2 linked regions of the Alligator mississippiensis genome follow. The main gene of each other region encodes a partner of the protein of the gene in region 2 in a complex. Links are inferred from orthologs where the notes say so. Each region holds a gene or a part of one and is shown on either strand. Other genes may lie near its edges. The genes, in order: RAB21 and RABGEF1.

The links.
Region 1: the proteins of RABGEF1 (region 2) and RAB21 are in contact, whole or in part, in a crystal structure (PDB 2OT3), measured with the Homo sapiens proteins. The link is inferred for Alligator mississippiensis from reciprocal best matches to the Homo sapiens genes RABGEF1 and RAB21. Residues at the interface, in NP_001273991.1 of Homo sapiens: Leu253, Cys254, Lys296, Phe299, Asn300, Lys303, Pro309, Ala310, Ser311, Ala312, Asp313, Phe315, Leu316, Pro317, Ile320, Leu347, Met348, Thr349, Gly350, Glu351, Gly353, Tyr354, Tyr355, Thr357, Asn358, Cys360, Cys361, Ala364, Phe365, Ser373; in NP_055814.1 of Homo sapiens: Ser19, Phe20, Lys21, Gly26, Glu27, Gly28, Lys32, Thr33, Leu37, Thr50, Thr51, Leu52, Gln53, Ala54, Ser55, Phe56, Ala71, Trp73, Asp74, Thr75, Ala76, Gly77, Gln78, Arg80, Phe81, Leu84, Ile87, Tyr88, Asp91.

The regions. Positions count from the first base shown.
Region 1 is NC_081827.1:71,723,304-71,730,590, reverse strand, and holds the start of RAB21 (ras-related protein Rab-21), read right to left. Parts: upstream 3,270-7,287; 5' UTR 3,089-3,269; coding exon 2,951-3,088; intron 1-2,950. UniProt on the Homo sapiens protein: The small GTPases Rab are key regulators of intracellular membrane trafficking, from the formation of transport vesicles to their fusion with membranes.
Region 2 is NC_081837.1:9,923,004-9,930,522, reverse strand, and holds the start of RABGEF1 (rab5 GDP/GTP exchange factor), read left to right. Parts: upstream 1-4,410; 5' UTR 4,411-4,500; intron 4,501-7,519. UniProt on the Homo sapiens protein: Rab effector protein acting as linker between gamma-adaptin, RAB4A or RAB5A. Involved in endocytic membrane fusion and membrane trafficking of recycling endosomes. Stimulates nucleotide exchange on RAB5A. Can act as a ubiquitin ligase.

The sequences.
Region 1 (7,287 bases), on a different chromosome or scaffold from region 2:
ACCAGGCTGAACTACTATTAACACCAAAGAACAAGAGCTAGACATCTGCAAGGTAACAAGCTATAATATCTTGCTGAATTACAGCCATAATACAAAACTAAATTCTTGTCTTAAATCTGTCTTTTATTGCTAAGAATCCATTCAAGCATTATCCAATCCTACCCATTTCACTGCTTGATCATAAGGTTTGGAAGAAAGTGAGTGTTCATTGCCCATTTTAAAGCAAGCACACCACCAAATTACTATTTAAGACACATGCCACTGTGTGACTATATGGTAGTAAAAACAGCTTTAACTGCATCTGTCATGTATTCTCTTTCCTGTAAAAAGTTTTAAAATGTGAACGGTTTATAGACTAGGTTCAATAGCACCTTAAAGACTTAAAAGCAAGCACCTTATACAGCTAAACACAAAAGTTTCTTTTTGGTTCTTCTTTCTTCCAAGTATCAGAATTTACTGAAGATTGGGGCATACTTCTTGTGGCCTACTCCCACAATTTTTGCTATCCAAAAGTGTACCGTTTACAGTTCTAAAGCAGCATCTTTCACATCTGTACACTGAGGATTTATTGCCAGTCTCTTCAGACAGAAAGAACACATGGCCCTTCGTGTGAATAACATTTCTGAATGATGTTTTGTAGGAAGCAAAACAAGGTATCTTGGGGGGTTCATTTATTTTTCTGCTTTTACTTTATAAATACAATTTAGGGGAGTTGTAGCTGGCTTCACTGCACTCAGTCTCCATACCATATCCAGTCATTCTGTACTGTAAAATTCACTTTTCAACTCCAAGTAATACCTCAATTTAAGACTTCCAGTTAAAGGATTATACCAGGTGAAAAAAGTCAGATGACAAGCAATTTTTGGCTTTCAGTTTCACATTCTTGTTTGGCTTTATATTGGGCAACAGGGCTCTGTTATTCACAGGAAGCAGACTGTTTTGGAAGGTTGGGGGAGGGGGGGGGGTGTTTAAGCCTCACAAGACACAGTTTAGTTTCATCTCCATCCATTGCAGACACCTCTCCCTAGAAGCTACAAGTTACTTGTCTAATGAAGACAAGAATAGACAGCTGTCAATGAAGAGTCTTAAATAACCGTCAAAAGTTTAGAAGAAACATTTTTTAAACAAGGAATGAGCTACAAACTCCAAATCTTCAAGGGGCATAAGCTAACAAAATGCTAGAGACTGAAGTAGTTCAGCAACAAAGCCAGACTGAACAGGTCTCTGCTGTACAGTTATTCTGGGTGATGGGCACTGGGTTAAAAAAGCCAGGTTAGCTGAACCTAGTCCACACTCCATGTACTCATTGCTTCTCGCCCCTCCCCCTAACCTTGCCTTTTGTCTGGGGTATAATTCATGCTATGACACCAGACTTCTTTCCTAATGCAGTTTCAGGCCTTCTCTACCATTCAGGGTCAACAGTGGAAGAAAAACTAGAGGCTCTTCAGCACTTGATCCATTTTGCCCAACCTTTCACTTCAGAAAAAATACGTTGCAGCCAAAGTTTGCTAGGAGGCTTGGCTCTAACCCAACCCACCTGACCAACAGCATAGAGGTGCTCTAAGCCTAAGTTTTTTTTGTTTTTGTTTTTTTTATTATAAGAGTTCTGCATGAATGATAAGGGAAGTTGAACTAAAAACCTAGGCCTACTCTATGAAGGCATGCCTTTATTCACTGAGGTTTCTCAATTTTTTTTTTCCCCAAGTGAAACTTCCTTTATCTACTTTATCTCAAACCTTAATGAAGTACTGTACAATCATACAATATAAAACCATAAAAGTTCTTAATATGTCCCACATAGTTAAGAGTGGAAGACTTAAAAAAAAAAAAAATCTAGTTGTACGTAGCCAACCCAGGAAGATTTTTCTTCTTGAGAATAAATACAAGACTGACTTATAGCTGTGTTGTCATTACACCATACCAGAATAAAAGTAAGCTACAGTAGCAGTCCTACAATGGTCACTCAGACCTCTTGCAGTCCCTCAAGAGCTAGATGACCACATGGTTCCCATTCCTGTTCACAACTCATATTTTGCATTAGTAAAGCTGCCCTCACATCTTATGTTATATCATATAAGCAGTGCTAGAATTTCCCATGTGATGTTATGAAACTGCAAACAGAGGAGGTAGCTCAGACCTCTAAAAGTTATCCAGAACACAAGAGCGTGCACCACTTTTTTGTGAGTTCATCATGAAACCGAAAGGGCCCTGCCCACAGGCAGAAAGAACTAAGCTTCACTACACCCTTCTGCTGCAAATGTGCTCTTTTAGACCCAAGTTCAGCAGACTCATGCTCCTAACTCAATAGACACAAAATATGCCAGTAGCAGCTGAGGGCAGAACTCAGCCGCTTGCACAAAGGTTTGCCTTCCTGCAAGGTAGAAGCCAAGACTTTTTCTTTAAGAAGGCAGGGTAGACTTGCACTTTACAGACTTGAGCAGATTAGATACAATACAAAGAATGCAAGTGTAAGCAAGATCAAAAGCTCACTGTGGGACAGGTAACAGAGGGAAATGCAATACAACCTCCCCCCCAAATTTCCTGAAATAAGCCTCAGCCCACAAAAGCATGTACTGTAGACCAGGGATGCTCAACCTGTACCAGGGCATCATGCCTGCTGGGCTCCCTGTGGGCTGGGAAACTGGGCAGCAAGGGAACAGTGGCAAATTACACTGCAATCCTTCCCCTGCTGCCAAACCTTGCACAGGTGGATCGGGACTGGGCCACCTCCCCTCCCACAACGCAGCCAGCCCAGGCCCCCCCCTCACCACCCTGTGGCTCGAGCACGGAGCACTGCCTGTCCCGCCCGAAGGGGGGGGGAGGGAGGCCAAGCACAGCGCACGTGCGGACAGACGGAAACACGTGCGAACCTCCCGCTGCCTTCAGGGGCACGAGGCTGGCCCCGCCCGGGAAGCCCCCTGCCCCGGGCCTCTTCCCCGCCGGGCCGCACCTGCAGGGTGGTGATGTGCTTGTCGTTGAACTTGTTCTCGCAGTAGCGCAGCACGAGCGAGGTCTTGCCCACGCAGCCCTCCCCGAGCAGCACCACCTTGAACGAGAAGCTGCGGCCGCCGGGCGCCGCCGCCGCCATCCGCGCACCAGCTCTGCCCGCCGCCGGGCCGCGGCCTCACATCAGCGGCGCCGCCGCCTGCCCTGGCGGGGACCCGGGAAGCTCGGCCGGGAGAGGCGAGAAGTGGAGCGGGGCTCAGACACCGCCAAGAACACGAAACACTACCCTCCCGCCACTACAACCCCCCGCTGCCTCTAATGGCGTCTTCTTCCTCCTACGTCACGCGGCGCTGCGTCACGCGGCCCGCCACAGCCAATGGGAGGGGCCGCCGCTACGTTCTGGGGGGCGGGGCCCGGGCCGCGGGGAAGCTGCTGACGAGAAACAGAGGGGGCGGGTCACTGCCCCTACCTCGTGCCTCTGCGCCTGCGCGAAGGCTGTAGGCCCCGCCCAGCCTGGGGCGGCCACAGCAGCCTCGTTTAGAAAGGTGTAATCTCAGTACCGTATTTTCTCGCATATACGCGCACTTTACCGCCAGCCCCAAAAGTTGCGGGCGGCATGCAGTATATGCGAGAGAAAGGGCTCCCCACAAGTGTGGAAATTTGAGCGTGGAGGAGAGGTACAGTAGTAATTGATGCAGTTCTGCCAGCCACAGCCACTGATGCTACCGCTGCTCCCTCCCTTCTCTCCCAGTCACAAATTTCTGGACTCCTGTGGAGCCCCCCCTCCACACTTTTCCCCAACCTCGCACACAGGTTCAACCCAGTACATGGCACCCGAGCCAGAGCATAGGGTCGCACCTGGCATGCAGCTGTAGCCTGCCTGCCGGATTGAGCCATGCAGCACTGGTGCCCATGCATTGGATCAGGCCACATTATCCGACCTGTTGGATAGGGCCCTCTTGGGCCGCTTGGCTCCAGCACGGCTGCGCTGCGATGGGCCCTGTCACGCATCCCCCAGCCCGAGCATGTGGCCTCCAAGCCTAAGCTCCTGGCACTCAGCCACTAGCTCCAGCTACACCGTTACATATATTATGCAATAAACTGGTTAATCCCACAATAAATTTAGGCCAGCTGCATGTGCAAAGTAATTATCACACCATACAAATGACTCCACCTATGAAAAAGCCAACCAGCTACAAAGGTAGTGCTTGAAAATGTGTAACTCTATAGCTGGTCTCGATCCAGGTTTAATGTGAACGTGTAGCGGAGCCCTTACCCATACTCCAGGGTAAGATGCTTTCTCTTGGGGCCCTGCAAAATTAGGGTGTAGGTTACATTTGGGGACAGGGATGTGTGAAAAAAATAATGATAATTCTGGAAATTCTTCATACCGGTTTCCAGCACAAGTAGGAGCTTGCCCAGTCCTGGCATTCTAATATAACAAACTCCTTAGCCCGTCTGTCTGTAACGCTCCGGGCCAACTGCGCATGCGCTGCCAAGAGGGCATGCGCCGATGGGCTGCGAGGGCCTGGAGCGTTATGGACAGAGGGAGCAAGAGAGCTGCCGCGCTGCCTCTCCCCAACAACAGCCAGCAGGGAGGGGGAGGCAGCGGGGAAAAGGGGAGGAAGGGAGAGGAGTGGGAAAAGGAAGTGGGGGAGGGGGGTTCCAGTGGTAGCACCTCACCAGTGCAGCACTGCAAGCAGGCAGCCCAGCAGCTGCAAGCAGGTAGTTTCTGCCGCTCCCAGAGGCTGCAGCAGGGTCGGGAAGTTGCCAGCAGCGGCATGAGAGCAAGCTGGGGGCGGTGGTGGCACCAGGCTCTTCCTGGCACGCAGGGTGGGCCACGGTGATGGGAGGGGGGCTGCTGCCACCCCAAAATTCACTGTAGCCCCCCACAACCTGTCTTCCCAGTGCTGCTGTCAAGCGCCGGCCTGAGCCTGCAGTAGCTGCCGTCCCTAGCCTGCTCTCGTCCTGCTGCAGGACTCACCGCTGCTGAGCACCGGGAAGAGCCTCGTGCAGCTGCCAGCCCCAGCCTGAAGCGGACACCAGCCCCAGCCTGCTGTTGTCCAGCAGCAGTGGGCAGCTGCCTGCCCCTGCTGCAGCCCTGGGAGTGGGCAGATGCCACCTGCTTGTAGCTGCTGGGCTGCACTGCGGTGGGTGGCTCAGGGCATGGTGCAGCCCAGTGACTGCAGGCAGCTGGCATCAGCCACTCCCAGGGCTGCTGCAGCAGGGGCTGTGGTGAGCAGAAGAAATGGGGTGAGGGGGGCTGCCGCCCACCCCTAGCACAATGAAGAGCCCAGTGCTACCCCTGCTGCAGTCCCAGGAATGGCAGACACCACCTACTTGCAGCCACTGGGCTGTGCCGCGACCCTCTCCCCACCCCTTCCCTGGCCCCAGCCTCATTCCCTCCCTCCCTCATGGCCCTGGGAATGCTTCCCTATCAGTTTCATTGTAAACTGGGTTCACTTTATGCAAATTTGATTTATGTGCTGGTCTCTGGGAACACATCTACCACATAAATCAAGGGAAACCTGTACTAATGCAGAGTGCAGTACAGGCAGTTACTGCACCATGAGCACGGTGCACGGTCAGATTTCACTGCTATGTTGCTGTAGCAATGCACTCTACCGGGGCAGCGTGCTGCTACGGTGACATAGCTGGCGATCATGTATAGACCTGCACAATTGCTACGTCGCTGTAGCGTGCAATACAGTGACATAGCACGTCACTATGTCACCATAGGGAAATGTGTAGATGCGCCCAATGCGCAGCAAAGGTTACCTCTAGACCTCATGGCAGGGGAGAGAGCAAAAGTGTCTAAGCAGGACATATAAAACAATAAATATGACCCTAAACCTGGACTCTCACTCCATGTGATAAACTGTTCTGTGCATGTCCTTTCACAGCATCTGATGAAGTGAGTTCCAGCTTGTGAAAGCTTATGCATCTCTGATTTAGTTAGTCTATAAGGTGCAACTCTGTCCTGCCTTCTGCCCAAGCCAGCAAATATTAAATTAAGGGCAATGGAGCTACTTGGGTGGATAAAATTCTGCACGTGCTGAAGGCTTTGCAGGATTCAGTCACATCTGTGGGCTTTAAATTGGGGCTATGAGAGAGGAAGGTAATGTTAATAGCCAGAGTGAAGAGGCAGCAGAAGGTAGTACGGTTTCTTCAGATTTCCTTACCACAAGGGCTCTTCCCCTGATAAGGTACCTTGTCTCAATAATTAGGTCAGTATTTTGTAAAACTGAACAGCACCCCACAGTTAAGAAATAATTTATATTATCCAGACTCAGGTACAGCAGTATAACTTCTCCAGTGACTATTTGGTGGCAAGGAAAATAATGTCCATGACAAGACATCATGCTGCAATTTCTTTTCTTCTCTGTCAGAAAATGTGTGACGGTAGCCCCTAGGAACCAGGAAAAAACAGAAAGTGCTGGAAAGGGGGACAAAGACCAAATTTCCTTGAGCCTGGAATCTCCTGGGAAACTGAGACTTGCTTTCATGCATGAAACTGGTTTCTTTTTAAACACTTTTTAAATTTTCCTAATATAAAATAAATAGGAAAGGTAAGAAATCAATGCAGAGAAAATCTTTTAAGGTATCTCTTTAATAAGTTCCTGGTTTTATTTCAACAAGTTATTTAAAACACACCATTATGTTGGAAAGCACTATTTACAATCAAGCAAATATTTTTGATCTATAGGCAAAATCAGACTTCCTTATAGCTCACAGGCAAACTAACTGTCAGACTGCATTTAGGCTGCATGGGAGAAGCAATTAAACTTTCTGGAGTAACATAGCTAGAGATGATGGAAATCACCAACCAAGGCAAGTAGGTCACATTAGCAGCTCAACTGCTCAGGATGACAGGTTCCATGGAGAATGGATTGAAAACACAGCAATGACAGCACTTATTGTTACAACTGCATTTCAGAGGCTGAATGTAAACAGAAGAAAGGCAAAGAGCAAGTTGTGGAAAGTTGGCAGAAAGCCCAAGAATTAGTTGTGCATATTGAGGGAGGAAAAGCCAAGCTCCTTGGGTAATGGGACTGGCTGGAAGGGCAAACTTAGAATTGCTTTCTCCTGTTTCTTTCTACTGCGATGAGAGAAACCGGAATCTGTTGTATATAAACCAAAATATGCCTGACTCATATTGCATGTTTCTCCTACAAATAAAAACAAACCAAGCAAGGTCCCAGGTACTGACAAAGCCTCTTGAGCTAAAGAACAGTATTTTTGGTTCTTTCTGTATATGTAGGTGGTCTTGTATATTGAACACTGGACAAATGAGTCTGTCAAGCAGCAAATCAGTCAAAAAATTGGAACCTATGAACCATT
Region 2 (7,519 bases):
ATTAGCATAAATGAAGAATGGTGGTCTTGTCCAGAGCCTCAAATTTCCAGGCTTATCACCCTTCCTGAACTATGTTTGATCTAACATAGTTGTTGTACATGAATTCTTATTCTACCAGGGCTATCAGAGCATTACTGGGATGAAGAGAAGTATCCATTTAGCGTTCAAAACTACAGTAGGTAAAATGTGTGTAACATTCAGTTTATACCGGCCAGAGCCTGTGTGAACAAATATGTGTATAAATATAGCATAAAGAAGCCCATGGACCTATTTCTCTTTGTCCCTAGAGGTGTGTTACTCCCCTTGTCCATGGGAAATATCTATGAAAAATATTTAAAATATTTAGCTCTTATTAGTGATTGCTATCAGAGAAGCTTATAACCACTGACTGTTATTTGACCCCAGCAGTCTTTCCTACCCAGACCAGAGCAAGGGGGCTGGACCTGATGATCTCACAAGGTCACTTCCAGCCCTAAACTGTGAATCTTAATTCTTGCAACAGCCTTTTGATCTTAAAGATAGGGCAATTGAATCGAGTAGGTTCAAGGACTTGTCCATGGCCACAACTGGTCATTCTCAGATCACAGGGTGAGCATTGAACAGATCCTGGTTCCCCAACCTACTGCTCAAATCACCAGATGATTCTTGTTTTACTTAAAAAGCTTGTGTGCAACAACATGAGCTGAAATCTTAACCACTGACTTTCTTAAGTAATAATATTGATCCAAGTTTAAAGAACAGTGTTAAAGAAGATACATTGGCAGAAACTGAACATCCTGTCCCATAGTACTTGTTTGATTTGCCAGTGTAATGTGGTGCTTGCTGTAGTCCATATATGTTTCTTTTTCTCAGTCTCAGAAGAGTTGGGTGAATGGCATAAAAAAGGTCTGAATTATTGGCTCTAATTAGGTTAACACTGACACATGAAAATGATTGCAGCTGTTTGACAGGGGAAATGCTTTTATGGCAGTTCTCTCCTGTATTGGGGGAGAAACCAAAAGGGAGGTTATAAAACAACCATAAAACTACCTGGAGAAATATAGCTGCTGTATCTGTGCAATAGATCTTGCTCAAGAAAAAACGTTTGAGACTGAAGAGGTAAAGCTTGAGAGACAAACAGGGAACAACTGTATAACAAAACGGTGGCAATTCCAGTTTTTATTGTGCAATAAGTTGTCTGCGGATCTTGAATGTGGAGAACTCTTGAAGAATGTAAATCTATCATAAGCTTCAGCATTAAGGTCCCTGATGTTTTACAGTTGACACTCTAGCTAATTCATCTTAAATGAATAGAATATGCTGAAGGTGTTCTAACAAATAAAATGTGCAACCCCTTTCTGGCTTCTCAGCAAGTCCCCAAAGAGGAGCTAACCGTGTACTTTGTAATCTAATTGAAATGCTCATCAAGAATCTTTACTGAAATTGGGAATTGATGGAACAGTGAAATAAAGCAGGCAGCATGGGAAGTTGGCCAAGGCAGGTATTTGAAGGGAGGAGGCAGTGCTTCCTGTTCGTTGTGTGCTATTACTCGGTCTGACTGGCCCTTTTGGCAGTTTCAACGCACACTTCGCTAACTTCAGAAGGGTCAGCAACATTTAAAATGATTTCTAAAGACTTGCTGTATTAAACACTAATAACTTTTGGGGGCCAAAACATCCTGACTTGGTGTCCTATGCAAGTCAGAGCACAAACGTGGTGGTACTGTTTACAGTTTTAATCCATTTTTAGGCTTCCTGAGCTAATCTCCCTGATTGTTGTTTCTGTTGAGCACCCTTTCTCCCCCAAGCTGTATGCTTCCATGGAAGCCGTTCAGTGCTTTTAGTGTGCTCTTTTTATTATAATTATAAAACCATTAGGATGTGTTAACTTCATAATTTATGCCCTTATGACATGAGAATTTCCTGCTTTTTTTTTTTCTTGTTTTCCAGCTATAACTTAGCTGCTAAGTTATATAAGGCATAAGGAGATCAAGTGACTAGCCTGAGAATACAAGATGAGGTAATGATCCTGACAACTCTTCCCACCCCTCCAACTTGCTCTTTGATCTTTAAACTCCAGAGGTTACTTGGATGCTGTCTGGGCAGGATGTGTATCACCCTGTAAGACTGCATGCAGGAATTTCACATGTTGGGGAAAAAGGAGGAGTATCCAGTCTGCACATAAAATATCCCTGGAAGTTACAGGCCGATAGCTGTCACTTCCTATAGACACTGACATTCTCATTAGTTGCTAAGATGTCCCTGAGGCAAACAATGCTTTCTTCTTATTTCTTTTACTCATTTCCTCCTCCTTTCACTTGTATTGTTTTCCTGTAGAGCATTATTTAAGGAAAAAAAATCCATTTATAGTTGTTGTTTTAAGTAATGCCGTGTACTCAGCCCATGGTGCCTGTCTGTGCTTTTAGTTTCTGAGGATATCGTTGATGAGTCAAGGAGTCTGAGGACAACATCATATTGGTATGCCTCTCTAGTCACATCTTCAGATCACACTAAGCATGGTGGTCAATCAGGAATTCTTGGCCCCATCCAGCAATAGCGAAAGTGCCATTGGTGAAATTCTCATGCTAAAGCCGATGGTTTGCCGCCGACAGAGACTTTAATTTCTTATGCTCTGGTTTTGTGAGAGGCAAAGAAATGTTAATTTCCACCATACTTTCTTGTGAAGTCTGTCAGTTGGTCTGGTCTCAGTGGCAAAAGGCTTGGCTACTTCAGCTTGTCTTCCCTTGCTTGCTACTGACCGTTCTTTCTGTTGCAAGGCCACATAGGTTCGCCAGGTGGTAAAATTGGAGCGGGCTATTGAATTATATCCACTGACGTAGGGCAATATCTGAGGAGGTAAATAATAGCTCCTCCTCCCAGCCTGTGATTCAGCCATAGTTAATGGCAGAGTTAAGGATGTGTTGGAAGAACTCCAGGCTACATCCCATGCTTTGCATCCCTGCCCTTTGCACGTGGCAAAATGCATGTGTGGGATCGTGAAGCTGATCAGGGAGGGATCAGGGCAGGGATTCAGAGCACAGTCTCTGTGACAGACCTTTCTTTCCCTTCTTTGTTTTAGTAACTCTTGAGAACAATCTTTGGACACTTCTGTCTTAAGACATTGTTGGCAGTACTGAACCTTGCAATTATGCTGACTTGTATAGTTATTTGTGGCTTTAAACCATTTTGAAATGTGCTTTTGGTTGTTTCCCTCTACTTCAGAGCGGATCTGAGGGAGTCTTGTGTTTTTCAGTATGTAAACTATTTAAAATTCAAACAAATGTGCAAGTTTGTTTCTCTTTCTCTGAATAAGCTACGTCTGAGATGAGAACTATGAATCGCAGTTTATTTATGTATATAGGTCTCCAACTGGATGCAAATTTCCAGAACAATGGTCCCCAGTCATTTTACTTGCACAGATTTAGTATGAGTTTATGACTAGTTTCACTGTGACTTTATAAGTGGTTTTTATTTTGCCAAGTTATAAATTGTATAGGTCTCCATCCATTGTTACCCTTCATGTCTTGTGGGGAGAGGGGAACACACAATCCTTGGCCCTAGTGATTGGGTATTGGAATGATTCCAAATTTGTCCAAATTTGTATTATTTTGTATTGTTTTACGATTAAACAAATTGACGATCAATGTTAATTTAACACGATGGATCCTGTAGCATCCTGTGTCTTACTACACATTGCTTTTAAATTCCAGGTAAACTGGGTAATGTATGTATTTTTATTTGAAACATGTGAAAGGTAACATTTTATGTATTAAAGTCTCAGTGCTGTGAAATAAATTATTAAAATGGTCAGTATTGGTTTTGATCATCTGAACAGTATAACTTGGCACCAAAAACTCTGCCAAAACTCAAAGTGCACTTTCAGGAGCATGCGAAGAATTAAAAAAATAATCTAATCTAATCTAAAAATTAATCTAATCTAAAAATTATTGACCGTTGTGGCAGACATCGCTCCGCAAAAACTCAAGCAACATCACATTCACAGCTCTGGGTCACAACTGCAAACCCCTGAAATATTGTGAAAGGGCAATCAGGACTCATAGCAGAGATGCTGTCTTAGAACAAGATTTTTGCCAAAAAAAAATCTTTAATTGCAAGCTTTTGGGCACAAACACCCTTCATCAGGCATTGGAGAAAAGATTGCAAAAGTTCTCCTGGGTAGACATGAAAGTGGGTATCTCATATAGAGGAGTTAATCGATGGAAAATTCCTCTGTGCAGTCGGTTCATAGCTGGTGTGGACCCTCTCGCCCCCTGCCAGCTCCGCGGGGGAGCAGAGCGCTGCTCCCAGCCCACGTGCGCGGCGGGGTGCCAGGGCGCGGCTGGCTCTGGAATGCGGTGACGTCACAGCCCCGCCCCTCCGCTCCCCTCCCCGCCGCCAGCTGTCACCGCGGAGGGGCGTGATCGGAAGTGACGCAGGCGCTGCCGTGTGCGCAGGCGCAGCGGGGGGAGGGGAGCGCGGGGCCGGGCTGAGGGGACCTGTCTGCGCCGCGACGGTCGCGCAGGTGAGTGGGGCCGGGCCCGGGGCATCGGTATCGGTATCCCCATCCCCCGCCTTTCTCCCGCACCGGGGTGAGGTGTCCGCCTCCCTGCTGAGGGGCAGAGCCGGGTCAGTCCTTCACGGTCGCCGTCGGGCCGGCCTGGCAGACCAGACCGCTGCGGCTGCTGCTGCTTAGGAGCCCAGCCTGAGCCGGCTGGTGTCTTGGGGGACTGACCTTTCTCAAATCGCAGGAAATAGGTTGTTTTCTGCCCAAAATTTAGCCTTAACCCCTCCTTCCAAATCCTCCCCCCCCAAAAAAACCTCCCCAAAACAAACCAATCAGGGCTCATGGGTGGAGGTGATCTCTTGTATGAGACCAACAAGATTTTTGCACAGCGAAATTCTTAAATTGCAAGCTTTTGGGGCACAAATGCACACACATATACACACGCGCACACATGCATGTGTGTGTGTGTACGTGTGCACACGTGTGTGTGTGTGTACGTGTGCACATATAATGTTAAGGTTTTTTTTTTACACCCATCCATAGTTTTCAGTATTTGCCTCCCCTCCCCCCCCCCCAGACAAAACAAAACAACCCCCCCCTGGCCCAGACATGGATCCGTTTTGATTAAGATACTTCCTTCTTGGAAAGAGAAGTCCTGGACAAACGCAGTGACCGAGAGCGGTTACAAAAAGCCTCGTCAGTGTCCGTGGATTTTGTTCGCTCTTATTTTTTTCTTTTAATGCCACAAATATTCCCAGCTGTATTTCATGTTCATGTTTTAGACTGAAAAAAACCCAAGTATTTCATGACATCTTCACGACCAGGACTTCGCCTAAGGCTAAATTAAGTTATTAAAAATGGATCGCGCGTCAGGCGTCGGAGAAAAAGATTGTGAAAGTTTCCTTGGGTTAGAAATGAAAGTTCGTACTTAGTAAGATTTCACAGGATTTGCAAAAAGCTTGTGGTCTAATAAAAGATATTGCCTCTATGCATGAGCCCCGATAGCTTTTTCCTCTAGACCAGTACGGCTACAATCGGGATGTGCGACCCCAAAAAGCCACGCACTTAGTGCTGTGAAGTAATATAACCGCAAGTCTGAAAACTGAAGTCCTCTGTTTAAGCACAGAGCAAGTGTACTTTGCTTTTGGGCAGCTGTAGTGCAAGTTGGTACCTGCAGTTGCTGCCTGCCTGCTTCAGATCAGATCCTCCCAGGTTGCACAGCCCAGCCCTTCAAAACCGGTTTGGTGCAACCCTGTGCGCTTGCAGCTTCAGCTGGTTTTCCTAACAAGGTTGCCAGTTGCAGTGGTGGCTTTTGTAGTGCCAGCAGATGCGAGTCCTGGACTGGGAACCTCTGCTGATCTGGGCCAAAACTGAACTATTTTTGAGATAGAAAAGTGAAGTCTCCATCCTCAGTTTCCAAGTGGTTTTTAACGCATGGATTATTCTGACAGGCTTTTGAGAAGTTGCTCATTCAAGGTCAGCATTTCCAAGGGATAAATACAACTTCCTTAAAGGCAAGTTGGCTGCGTAAAACCTTTCAAGCTGATTTTTTTTTTTTTTTCCCTAAGCAAGATGTTTGAATTTTGCAGAGGGTTCACCCAGATTGCAAGACGCTTTTGACCCAGAGGAAGTATGGCAAATGTTGATATACCGAAAGGAGTCTAGATTAAGTTTTAAATCTTTCCAAGGGGAGCTGATGACAGTTGTTAGAAGTTAGAAATTGTTATCATTTTGTAGTATTTAATACATTTGAATGCTTTCAAGCATAGATGAAATGGCATGATTTCAGAGCATTTATACTGCCATATTATGGGGCACTTATTCTCTCATAAATACTTAAGCATTGTTGTTGACCAAGAATGGTATCCAGCCTGATCTTAGAGATCCTTAGTGATCCATTTTACTAACTTAATTTAGGTTTATGCGAAGTCCTGGTCACTAAGATTCTTTGAAATGTTTTTTTAGTCTGAATCATTAACATTAAATATAGCTGGAAACATTTGTGGAATTAAAAGAAAAAAGCTAACAATGTACACATAGGTGAATATGCAATATTTTGGAATGTTCTTGGTTTCTAAGTTTGTAAAGTACTCCTTCTCTTTCCAAGAAGGAAGTATCTTAATTAAAATGGATATATATCTGTTCTGGGGGCTAGGAGAACACTGAAAACTATGGATGGGTGCTTTAAAATGTAATCACAAATTACTGGACTCACAGAAGACTTTTCAAAATCCATATTCAGTGTTAGGAATTATGTAACAGTCTTTCTATCATTTACCATAAAGTCCTTTATTATGCCTGTTCTCCTTGTCATTATTGTATTTCTTATGACCTAAGTAAGTCATCAGTCTGTCATATAAAATCATGCTTGTTAAGTGCCATGAGTATCATGGCAGGTGCACGTAAGCATAATGCTTCAGGATTTGAGTTTTGAATGAAACTCCTTTAAACTACTTTACTTTGTATTCAACTGAGGAACTGATATTTTTATTTTTAGCTTTATACTTAACATCAGGAGTGTAATAATTGAGGTTGCATTTAGCAGTCCTGAAGTTTGTAGATAAGTTATAAACTGTAATGGTGAATTGCTTGAATTTCTCTGAGCACTGCGGTAGTGTGATTCATTTGGTGCAGGTTAAAAGAACTTATTGTATTACAAGGCATGAGACTTGAAGGTAAAGATGCCTTGAAATAGTCAGTTAATCCATTAACTTTATTTTTGATCCTCATGATGGAAATTAGTATTCAGCACTACATATGGTATCTGAGACCTTGACGTGGACAAATTTAAATTGTAGTTCAAATTTGCAGCATCTGTACTGGAAAGTGGGTAGTGCTTTAAGTGTAACTTCAAAATCTTTCTTTAGAACTGGAATAAATAGTGAATTAGGTTTACTAGGAATTGTGAGGCCTGATAGCCAGCCAGTACATTAGAAGTAGACTAAAAATATTATGAGGGGATATAACGTCCTGTGTCAAGTATTGCTAAATCATATGTTGCCGTTGCATTTCCACATTATTGAAAGGATTGCATACT